Linked DNA regions of Schizosaccharomyces pombe. The gene in region 3 interacts genetically with the main gene of each other region. Each region holds a gene or a part of one and is shown on either strand. Other genes may lie near its edges.

What was found.
Region 1: mutations in adg2 (region 3) and cwf19 together harm fitness more than expected from each alone (negative genetic interaction), as found in Schizosaccharomyces pombe (one large-scale study listed by BioGRID).
Region 2: mutations in adg2 (region 3) and mcs2 together harm fitness more than expected from each alone (negative genetic interaction), as found in Schizosaccharomyces pombe (one large-scale study listed by BioGRID).

The regions. Positions count from the first base shown.
Region 1 is NC_003424.3:1,101,755-1,105,513, reverse strand, and holds the start of cwf19 (protein Cwf19), read left to right. Parts: upstream 1-1,706; 5' UTR 1,707-1,766; coding exon 1,767-3,179; exon of another isoform or gene 3,180-3,223; coding exon 3,224-3,491; exon of another isoform or gene 3,492-3,534; coding exon 3,535-3,759. Other genes in the region: Lsd1/2 complex PHD finger domain-containing protein Phf2, read right to left, coding at 1-650. UniProt on the Schizosaccharomyces pombe protein: Involved in mRNA splicing where it associates with cdc5 and the other cwf proteins as part of the spliceosome. Involved in mRNA splicing.
Region 2 is NC_003423.3:1,891,055-1,894,813, forward strand, and holds mcs2 (transcription factor TFIIH complex cyclin Mcs2), read left to right. Parts: upstream 1-1,925; 5' UTR 1,926-2,101; coding exon 2,102-2,374; exon of another isoform or gene 2,375-2,460; coding exon 2,461-2,534; exon of another isoform or gene 2,535-2,586; coding exon 2,587-3,208; 3' UTR 3,209-3,354; downstream 3,355-3,759. Other genes in the region: GDP/GTP exchange factor Spo14, read right to left, coding at 1-169, 216-341, 489-602; SAGA complex, phosphatidylinositol pseudokinase subunit Tra1, read right to left, coding at 3,379-3,759. UniProt on the Schizosaccharomyces pombe protein: Essential for progression through the cell cycle. Possesses kinase activity that can be detected when myelin basic protein (MBP) is provided as an exogenous substrate.
Region 3 is NC_003424.3:4,079,131-4,082,889, reverse strand, and holds the start of adg2 (protein adg2), read left to right. Parts: upstream 1-1,733; 5' UTR 1,734-1,939; coding exon 1,940-3,759. Other genes in the region: ted1 (phosphoprotein phosphatase), read left to right, coding at 115-1,407.

The DNA.
Region 1 (3,759 bases), 3.0 Mb from region 3:
GGTAATTTTACAAGGGGATCGAAATGATTAGGGCGATGCACTTTTCTTCCTGATTTTGTTTTGACACCTTCCAAATTAAATTGCTCTTCCCTACCATCTTCAGTAGAAAAGAGGGCGTCAGCGGTGTTGTCACGTTCAATAGCCAAACTGGCAGGCCATGATCTTTTCCGAGCAATGTTCATAGCAATTGACATAGGAGGTAATGGCGATGAACTTGCAGGAACATTTGGGGGTAACGCAGATTTTGTTTGGGAATCAGCACTTCTATGATGCGCATAATTAGATGAAGATGCGTCTTCAGTGAAAGGTGCCTGTTCGCTTTTTGCATCGGTTTCCTGATTTTTACTAGATTCTATTTCTTTAGCAACATCATCATTTTTGTACGAACCGAAAGCACCTGACTCCTTGTTTGGCTCGTGAAAGTGTTGGAACTGATTTTCCAAATGCATGTTTGAATTCACGTTAGGATTTTGTATATCCTGAAAGGCTTGATCTATTAGCACAGAGCCTCCATTTTGATTAGATTCCTCCCCCTCAAACATCGTTGGATGCAAATCATTGGGAAATCGACGACTACCGTCGAATTGAAAAGGATATGATGCCGCTTCAAAAGAACCGCCATCGTCGTCATAGTACGATGAATTCGGCATTAGGTTTTAAATCATTCATATGCTCATGTAAAAAACAAATGAAAAAATGAAGCAAATGGCAAAAAATGCGAATGTGTAAGTTCAACACGCGTGTTTGGAATTTAGGTGAGATTTAACGCAACTTATAAATCGTTTGCTGCTGTTACTCCAATTATGTTTTGCTAGCGAAATGAGATTGATCATCACTATATCTCGCTTATTCACTTCTCACTACAACTCACTGTCTAGTCATATATAAATACTGCACGTATCCATGAAGAGCTGAAATCTCACATTTATTAGAGCTTTTTTATTTTTAATTTTGTTAAATTTAATTATTCATGCATTAACTAGTCATAGCTATAAATATGAATGAAAATTTGGTCTTTCCTTTGTTTATATTTCCTAGATGGCCTAACAGCTATAATTGATTGAACTTGTATGCTATTAAAGGCGATAAACAGACTTCTTTAGTACTTTGCTAAAGAAAATATAATTGCAATGATCCAATTACACTGGAAATACAGGTATAAAAAATCGTCACAGTTTGGAAACAAACAATGCTTTTTTTTCTGTGGCTGTTGTGTAGCTTTGCTAGTATCATAAACTCATTGTACACTAGCGCAAGACACACTATACAGTAGTTAGCGCGAGGTATTTTATTATTCTTTCCAACTTATTTGTAATGAAGTTCAAATAAACAATGGGTAATTTAGTACTACTAAAGTCCTTGCGTTATTTAAAAGGTTTTTGTTTGAAGTTAGTGGTATATATTTTGGAATCCTAAAGTTATTGTATCGCCTTTCACTGTCAATGTGGAATACTGCAAAGGCCGATACTCCTTCTTTCAAACTTAATTGTTTCACTTTCTTTTCTTTCCATTTCAACGCAATATTTTACAATTTTTTTTAATTTAAAAGAGAATTCTGATCATTGTCTAAACTAAACTCCTGGCAAAACTATCATTTGCGTTGCTTGTTTAGATCTGCATAGTGCCTGAACCACTTGACTTAACGAATGTACTACTACCATCGTTAAGTTACAATAAAAACATTATTTCCTTTTTCCCACCATTTTGCCTCTAATTATTGTTAAAAATTATTTATTTCATGAATTAATATTAAAATAACGTCCATTATGGAAAAGGAAAAGCTTACAAATAGGACCAGTACTCACAAATTCAATGAAACTGACAGAGAAACAAATCACTCTAGAAGGCATCGTCACCACCACTCTAGGCATCGTGAGAGCAAGCATGGACGACATGATCGCAGTGAAAGGCCAAGCTCTAGAGAAGCAGGTGACCGAAGTAGGCATGAAAGATTTAGTAAAGAGCCATTGGAGGTAAAGAAACTTCCTGTTGAAAATGAATACTTTGACTCCAAATTCGCTTCTGCTTCTTCCATGCCATCCTCCAAAGACAATCCACAGAATAATGACTTTACTAATTCATTGCAAGGTTTGGATTTTGGTACGTTCGGTTCGCGTATACAAAGAGAACCTATTGACCGAAAGTCCAATAAGCCTGGTGAAATTTTTGTTGGTGCAACATTACAGAATGAGAGTTCGACGAGTACAGAACATAAAGATATAGAACAGCTTGAAACCGAAATTAATGAGTCAGGAATTAATTACAAAATTGGTGATAATGGCTCTCGATGGCGTATGATGAAGCTCAAACGCGTATTTGACATGGCTCAAGACCAACGACGCCCCGTTGAAGAAGTAGCTCTGGAACGTTATGGTTCATTGAAAGAATTTGATTTTGCCTTGGAAGAAAGAGATGAGTTAGAGCTTCGAAAACGAACTCGAAAAGTTCAGAAAGAAGTTCCTACTGGCGAATTATATGAAAAACGATGTGCTGATGAATTTAAGACTAGAAAAGATTCTGGTAATGGCGCTACATACTACAAAGTAATACCTGACCCTTCTGTAAATAAAGATACTCCCACTGAAAGCGATTTGAATAGATTAAAAGCTGATTTGTTACGTGCTCAACTTAAAAAGGATCCTAACTATGAGTCTTTAGAAAGGGAATATCAGAAAGCTTGTGATGACTTCGAAAACTCTTTACACCCTTCGGAAAATTCTAATTCGCAAGCAACCATACCATCAAAAAAAAGAAACTTCGACGATCCTACTATTGATGAGATGGTACAGGAAGAAAAATTGTTGAATAAACAACGGAAATACGGCCAGAATTATGAATACGCAAAGCAGATTGCAAAGGATAAAACTTATTCTAACAATCTGGATTATTTGGACGAAAATGCAGGGAAACTTTCTAATCGAATGAAGCGCGGAGACGTCAGTCTAGCTCAAATTAGTAGTGGTGGGGATCTTAAAAAAATTAATCATGTTTTGGACACTTGTCCTCTTTGCCTAAATTATGAAACACAACCTTTGGCACCAGTAATATCTTTAAGTCATCGTGCTTATGTTTCTTTACCAACTCAACCCGAATTAGCTAAATATCATTGTTTAATTGTTCCTACAGGACATCGGATAAATACCCTCAGCTGTGATGAGGATGAATGGGATGAAATCAGAGTATGTTAATATAGTAAAAGGAAATAACTAACAAACCTTTTTAGAATTTTATGAAATGCATCGCCCTAATGTTTGATTCCATGAATCTTGGTGTTATTTTTTATGAAAACGCGCCTTCACCACAAAGATATATGCACACAGCTATTGAGTGTATTCCAGTCTCTAAAAGGATCCTCTCACTTGCACCTGCTTACTTCCGTGAAGCTTTGTCTACTTCTGACGAGGAGTGGTCTCAACATCGAAAAATTATTGATACATTAGAAGGTTCGAAGAAGTATGGAAAATGGGCTTTTCGAAAAATGATGGTTAAGGGTATGTTTGGAAAATCGTAATCATTTATTTTACTAATGATTAGAATTGGGTTATTTTCATGTTTGGTTCAGTATTGATGGTGGCTACGGGCATGTCGTGGAAGACGAGAAGGCATGGGGGAGGCACGATCAAGTTCCTAGGCAGGTATTTGCCAGTATGCTAAACCTTCCTCCTGAAGTAATCAGAAGGAAAGGTTCTTGGACAGGTAAAAAAGATCCACGCGAAGATATGTTTCGCAGTCGTTTTGAAAAATTCGATTGGACCAAGG
Region 2 (3,759 bases), on a different chromosome or scaffold from region 3:
CATCGTGTAATGGCTCAAATAAACATAACCTTTGATATTGTTCATCATTGTCAAAATCGGTTAACCTGAGAGCGTTCTTTTCCTCAAATAGTTTATCCTTTCTTCCATATAAACGTAAATGGTCAATTAACTTTCCGTCAATGGTGTTATTAATACCGGCTATTAATTCCTACAATTTAATTTCGTTAGCTATGCAATAAAAAAATATTGCATACATTTTTAAAATAACCCAACGACATAACGGCATCATCCGAATGCTTAAGTTCGATTTCTCCATGTTCTATAAATTTTGTATGACCTTCACCAACTTCAGGTTCATAGTCTTCATATGATAATAACTTCTAAATTCGACAAACTAATTAGCGCCTATAGTCCAATTGTAAAACATAATCTTTTTAGCTAACAATCCGGATACTAAAAAGTTTATAATGCTGTAAAATAGATAGATAATGAAGTAATCCTTCACTTACAGTCACGAATTGACATACCAATTTGTTTTTAACACCAGATTTTGTAGTTCCTCCTCCACCACCAACCGCCATTTGATGGTTATTAATCCAACAAAGAGAATAAGCTGGAAAAGAAAGGTGGAGTTCAGCCATTTTGATCTAATAATTAGAAAACACTTTAAGCTGGATACGAGGAATAGGAATGTATTGAAAAAATAAATCGATATCGGCGACGAATCAAAAAAAAATTCTACTTATTAGTGAGCAAATCAATAAAGTACACTTACAAGAATTCCACTAAAAAAAAACAATGTCTATTTGAATACGGTGGTGTGGGTATGTTTCGAAATCGCTGTGAACCTACTTCGAGACTTAAGCAAATACTGTAAGAATATTAGATCCCCGTATCAGAATCTATCGAATAATATCGACATCACTATCCTCTTTTACGTATTTAGGCGATGTTTAATATATACATAAGTTTTTATCCATTTTTTTATGACAGTAGAGAAAAGATTTAATTAGAGATAACCTAAATCCTTATTGACTTAAAAAAGGATGATACTTACTTGTGGATATTTATTTGCGAAGAATCTTTGAACAAACAGAAACTTATAATAGATTCTTTCTAAATCTCGGAGCATATTCTGGCTCATTTTATATTTATATTTTCCTTTTCAGCTTTTTAGAACTCAATTCCGACCTCAGTTTGGTTGCAACTTTGCTACAGACACTATTTAATATCTCGGTCTCCTGTACATTTTACCAGGTTTACGTTGTATTGTTTATATAGTTTATATAGCAATATTTACTACATGTTCATCATATTACGAAAATAGATTAAGAGAACTGGGGAAAGAGTGAGGAGATGAGAAATTTTCGGATTTATTTATAATTTCCAATTATTATTTTTAAGACGAAATTGCCGCGAGACTACATTGTCCATGAAATTAATGTTTGTGTTTATTCTACTAAAGGGTATGAATGCTCGATCTCGTGCCAAGGTGCCTACAATCTTAATACGCCGCTGCCTGTGTATGATTATAATATTACTTCTGTTTTTTGCACAGAAAGCGTGTTTCATTTCAAAGATTGACTTCCAATTAAATTTAATTAATAATATGTTGTTTCATTTCCTTATTTAACTACCAATTCTTGTTCATTTGCAATTCACTCAAATATGTAACTGAACGTTGTCAGGTAATTTTTTGGCTTTAAATGATATGCCTCAATGGAATATAAAAAAGCATAATCCTATATAACTATTGTTTTTTTCAGCTTCGTTTCAGTGAAATGTTATGCTGATACAAATTGATTGAAACATGAATGCAAGACTTTTTTCAACTCAACAATATTTTATTTATTAGTAAATTTTAGTTTATGTAATAAACTCTTCATTAAATTAATATAACTTTATAGTGCTGCTTTCTTTTTGCACATCGCACATTAATTGCAAAAACTCTCTTCTCCACATCCAGGGTATCTGATGTCCTCGACAAAGTCTCAGCGAACGAGCGATTTGGGTTTTTCATAGCAGAGAAGTATCCAAATTTCAAAAATATTATTATTTTACTGGCTTTATAGAGAAGTATTTAAATTTTTGCATAACCCTCAATTGATAGAGTGCTGTAAATTCTACTTACATTATTCACATGTCTGCCGATAAATTTCGTGATTCCACGCATTACAGAGATTGGATTTTTACGGAAGAAGACCTTTCAAAAACACGTGCTAAAGTAAATGAAAAATTTACGAATATTGTACGTGAGCGAATGCTGGAAGAGTTGTCTTTACAAAACAAGGAAGCATCCTTAGAAGTTTTGCCTCCAACTCTTACCGTTGAAGAAGAACTTGAACTTGTAAATTATTATAGTTTCCAGTTGAACGCACTTTCTTCCGCTCTTTCCTTACCAACTCATATTCGCGTATGTTTAGACATGGTCGGATTTCCTTCAATTACTTGGAAACTGTACTCAATATAAACATTCCGACTTTACTCACAAAATTTTAGTCCACGGCCATTCTTTTTTTTAAACGCTTTTATCTAATTAACTCTGTCATGGAGTATAGTCCAAAAATTATTTCGTATGTTTAAGTCGCCGAGTCCATTAAGCTAACATTGTTTTTCTTACATTAGGTTTACTTCTTTATTTTTAGCTACCAAGTGCAACGATCATTATATCTCTATTGAACAATTCTGTAAAAACATGCCCAAGACGACTCCCGAAGAAGTTCTTGAATACGAATTTAACGTTTGTCAATCATTAAAATGGGACCTTTACGTCTGGCTTCCATTTCGTCCTTTACAAGGCTTCCTTTTAGATTGTCAAACAGTGCTTCCGAAAGTTGCTGTCGAAAAGTTTTACGAATGTCATGACCTTTCCAAAAAATTCCTAATTGAGACATTGCATTCTGACATCTATTTCTTACATTCACCCAGCATAATTGCTTTGGGTGCTATTTATCATACGAATCCAACTATTTGTTTACAATATATAGAAGCAAAAAAAATTCCAGAACTGCAACCTTTGATAATTTCGATTTCTGCCAATTTGAAAGCTACAAAAAAATTTAAGATTGAGAAAAAAAAGGCACAAGATTACGGCAGAAAGCTATATTTCTGCATGAATCCTCTGCGAAACAAGTCTAGTGCTTTGTACCTTAAACGAAAAGCGGAAGAAGAATCAACTAATAACAACAAATGGGCTAAAAAGTTCTCAACCAGCAGTAATGTGTTGGATAAAAATCCGTTTGAATGATTCTTTCTTTGAAAAGTGCTAAATTTACTTCAATAGTCATTATTCGTCAATTTTTTTTACGACAAAATAGTTTACGTTTATAAAAAATTCCCAGTAAAATTCACTATCAAGTGTGTCTCATTAATTATTTTTAATGTCTATTTGTAAAATTAAAAACATTTTCATTTCTCTCACAGCCAAGGAGCCCATAAGACGTCCATCTGTGCCAAAACTTTGGAACTAGAGGCTTGCGCCAAATAATCAATAGCTGTTTGATTGACTGGTAAGTTACCATAAGCAACCTGACTTAATGATGCAACCCTTCGCATTATAAGATCAGTATTGCTATTGACTTTGTTGAGCATACTGAAATCTGCCGGCACGCCTTTAGTTTGCTGTGCAAGCCACCAAAAAAGATCATCTCTAATAAAGATACCCAAGTACATATCCAAATCGAAATCCGGTTTGGAGAGCGCGCGAGCTATAGCCATTATTGAAGGGCCCAGTAAACCTTCAGTACAAGTTTTTCCAATAAATTCTTTAATGTTGGGGGTAAAGCGAAAAGGAACAAT
Region 3 (3,759 bases):
CTTACGCCTCTACATTACTCGTTTAGTCTGCTCCTAAGTAAAAATAGGCACTCCAAAAATCGCTCCTTCTCTCCGTTCCCTTTTTTAATTTACGTTGACATAATTAAGTCAATAATGTTTGCAAGACATCCGAATTTATTATGGTTGAACAAACAACTGTCTATTTTACATTATCTTTGCCTAGTTTTTTTAGCTGTCTACTATGCCTATCCTCTACTATTTGGCATAATGCCAAGAAAGCTGCAACTCGAAGATGAAAATTCTTTTGTTATTATGGGGGTTGCTGATCCTCAGATTGAAGGGAATCATAAAATCGAAGCAAATGGATTTTTTAAAGGCACTTTAGATCTTTGGGGGAATGATTTGTTTTTACGACACCTTGTACATATGAATCAGTTTTGGGGTCAACCAGATGCGATGATTCTGTTGGGTGACTTGGTCAGTTTTCAGCACTTGGATAACGAAGAATTCAACAAAAGAGCTAAAAGACTGAAAAAAATCACTGGGGCAAAAAACTTTTGGCAAGTAGGAAACTCCAGTTTACCAGCACGTACTTTTGAAAACGGTAACATTCCCGTTTGGACGATTGCGGGTAATCATGACATTGGCTATGGCTGCGAAAGTTCAGACGCACAAATTAGCAAATGGGAACAAGCTATGGGCCCGGTAAATTGGGTTTCGCACTTCAATGTTTCTAAATTTCCTGTCCGTGTGATCGGCATAAATAGCCTTTCGCTTGATGATGTTCAGTTTTACGATGCGAACCCTAGCGATATTATTAACAGTAAAAGTTTTTCATCATTAGGTATACTTGCTCTTTCAAAAGAAGCTAGGGATGCTTGGCAATTTCTTTTCGACATTGCTTTAGAGCCGTCTATTCCAACCATACTGTTCACCCATGTGCCACTCTACAAACCAGCTAATGTGTGTGTTGACGAACCGAGAATCGTTCGTCAATTGGATTTTCGGGTCAAGTCTCAAAATCATTTATCGTATAATACTACTATGAAAATTTTTGAATTGATTCCTAGCATCAAATTGGTCCTTTCTGGCCATGATCATATGGGTTGTGACTACGAACACCCGAACGGTGCCATCGAACATACATTACCCAGCGCAATGGGGTACTTTGGAGGAAATATTGGTTTTGTCAAACTGATCGCGACAAATGATGTTCTTACAGAGTCCTCCAAGAACACACCCTCGGTTGTTACATTTCTGATTCAAAAACTCATTGGCCAACGATGGAAGAAGGCTTCATTGAAACAGTCAAAATTCAGTTCCGACATATATGCCACTTATACCTTGAGTCACGGAGGACCATCTTATATTTGGTGGGCTCTTCACATATCGGTATGCGTACTTACCATCTTACGTTTATTGGTAATATCATTGCAACATATCTAACATTGTTGTGCACTAATTGTTCAAATGAACAGTTTTATATTTACACCAGCCTCTTAAACAGGCAATATATCCAGCCTTTAGGTGAATTTGAGAGAAACCAACCTTTTTTACCAGCCATTCTGCTGGTTTTTAACCAAGAACCTGCAGATTCATTGAATTAACGTGGTGCCTTAATTACATTTAACGTCATTTTTGTACTTTCTTGCAGTAGTGCTGGATGTTTATTTACACAAAGTCGACCAATGTTACCATAGTAACGCGACCCAAGAATGCGTTATCTAATTTAGGTGCAAATATAAATGTCTCTCTGGAATCCACAATTTTTCGATTGTTTTTGTTTACATCGATACAGTTTCCAGCATTGCCCCACTTTTGAGCATTAATACACTTAGGTCATATCAGAAACCCAAGTGCTATATTAAGTCGCCTTTCTCGCTTACTTTCTTTCCTTAACCATCTACTTTTAGTTGGGTATTCGTCTTGCTGAAGGCCTGTGCACTGCCAATTGCCGAACTAGGGATTTATTTGAGAAATGAGAAGATTAACCATCAGCGGGCTATTAATTAGCTTAGCCAAGCTTTGTGCTGGCATGGAAATTAATGTTCCTTCTTCTTCAGACGTTTGGACTAGTGGACATATTGAACCCTTGGAATGGAGTGTGGTCAGCACTGATCCCCTGCAGGCTAATGTCTGGTTAATAAACGAAGTTGAGTATCCACCAACAAGCCGTTACATAATGACCATCAATACTTTTGATGAAAATGCCACATTTCCTGCTTTAGATCTTTCGCCAGGTTATGGCTACCAAATTAGTTTTACGTCTATTCGCGACGACTCTGTTATTTACGCCCAATCTGGTACTTTTTATATTGTTGGCGGCGAAGGTATCTCTTCTACTACTGGTAGTACTTTTCAAAGCATGACTACCTTCACTAGTTCACAAACCAACAGTGGTCATGCTTCTGCTAGCACTTCTATTCCAAGCACTGCTATAACTGTGACAGCGAATTCTACCATTTATTCATCTGCTACTTCTAGTTTTCCATACTCTACAGACGTTAGTGTCTCGACAGGCACATCGACCGACATTGTAACCTTACCTCCGCCAGCGTCGAGCACTTCTTCGTTTAGCACCATTACAAACACGTCTATGATTCCCAGCTCTTCATCGTTTACTACTACTACAGGCTCTCCTTATTATAACACATCTAGTTTCTTACCTTCCAGTGTTATATCGTCTGCCAGCCTGTCTTCATCATCTGTTTTGCCAACGTCTATTATTACATCGACTTCCACACCCGTTACAGTCTCTTCTTCTAGTCTCAGTAGCTTCACTCCTTCCTATAGTACTAACCTTACTACTACTGGAAGTACCACTACCACTGGTTCGGCAACTGTTTCCTCATCACCATTCTATTCCAACAGTAGTGTCATCCCTACCAGTGTACCATCAAGTGTTTCTTCTTTCACCTCCAGCAGCAGCTCATACACTACTACGCTGACTGCTTCAAACACTTCTGTCACATACACTGGTACTGGTACTGGTTCGGCAACGTTTACCAGCTCCCCACCATTCTATTCTAACAGTAGTGTCATCCCTACCAGTGTACCATCAAGCGTTTCTTCTTTCACGTCTAGCAATAGCTCATACACTACTACGCTGACTGCTTCAAACACTTCTATCACATACACTGGTACTGGTACTGGTTCAGCAACGTTTACCAGCTCCCCACCATTCTATTCTAACAGTAGTGTTATCCCTACCAGTGTACCATCAAGTGTTTCTTCTTTCACGTCTAGCAATAGCTCATACACTACTACTCTGACTGCTTCAAACACCACCGTTACATTTACTGGTACTGGTACTGGTTCGGCAACGTTTACCAGCTCCCCACCATTCTATTCTAACAGTAGTGTTATCCCTACCAGTGCACCATCAAGTGTTTCTTCTTTCACGTCTAGCAATAGCTCATACACTACTACTCTGACTGCTTCAAACACCACCGTTACATTTACTGGTACTGGCACTGGCTCAGCAACCGCTACTAGTTCTTCACCCTATTATTCTAACAGCAGTATTATTGTTCCTACTACCGTAAGTACCAGTGGATCTGTTTCCTCCTTCTCTAGTTCTCCTTCTCCTACATCCTCATTTTCTGGTACTTCGGCTCTTAGTAGCTCATCTAATGAAGAAACAACTACCACCACCCAGGTTACTTACACTACGTCTCCCGAAGAGACTACTACTACTATGACTACTACCACATGTAGTTCCCGTCCCGAGGAGACTATCTCTACTGTTTCCACCACTTCTACTGTCTCTGAGAGTGGAAGCTCATCGGCGAGTATCAC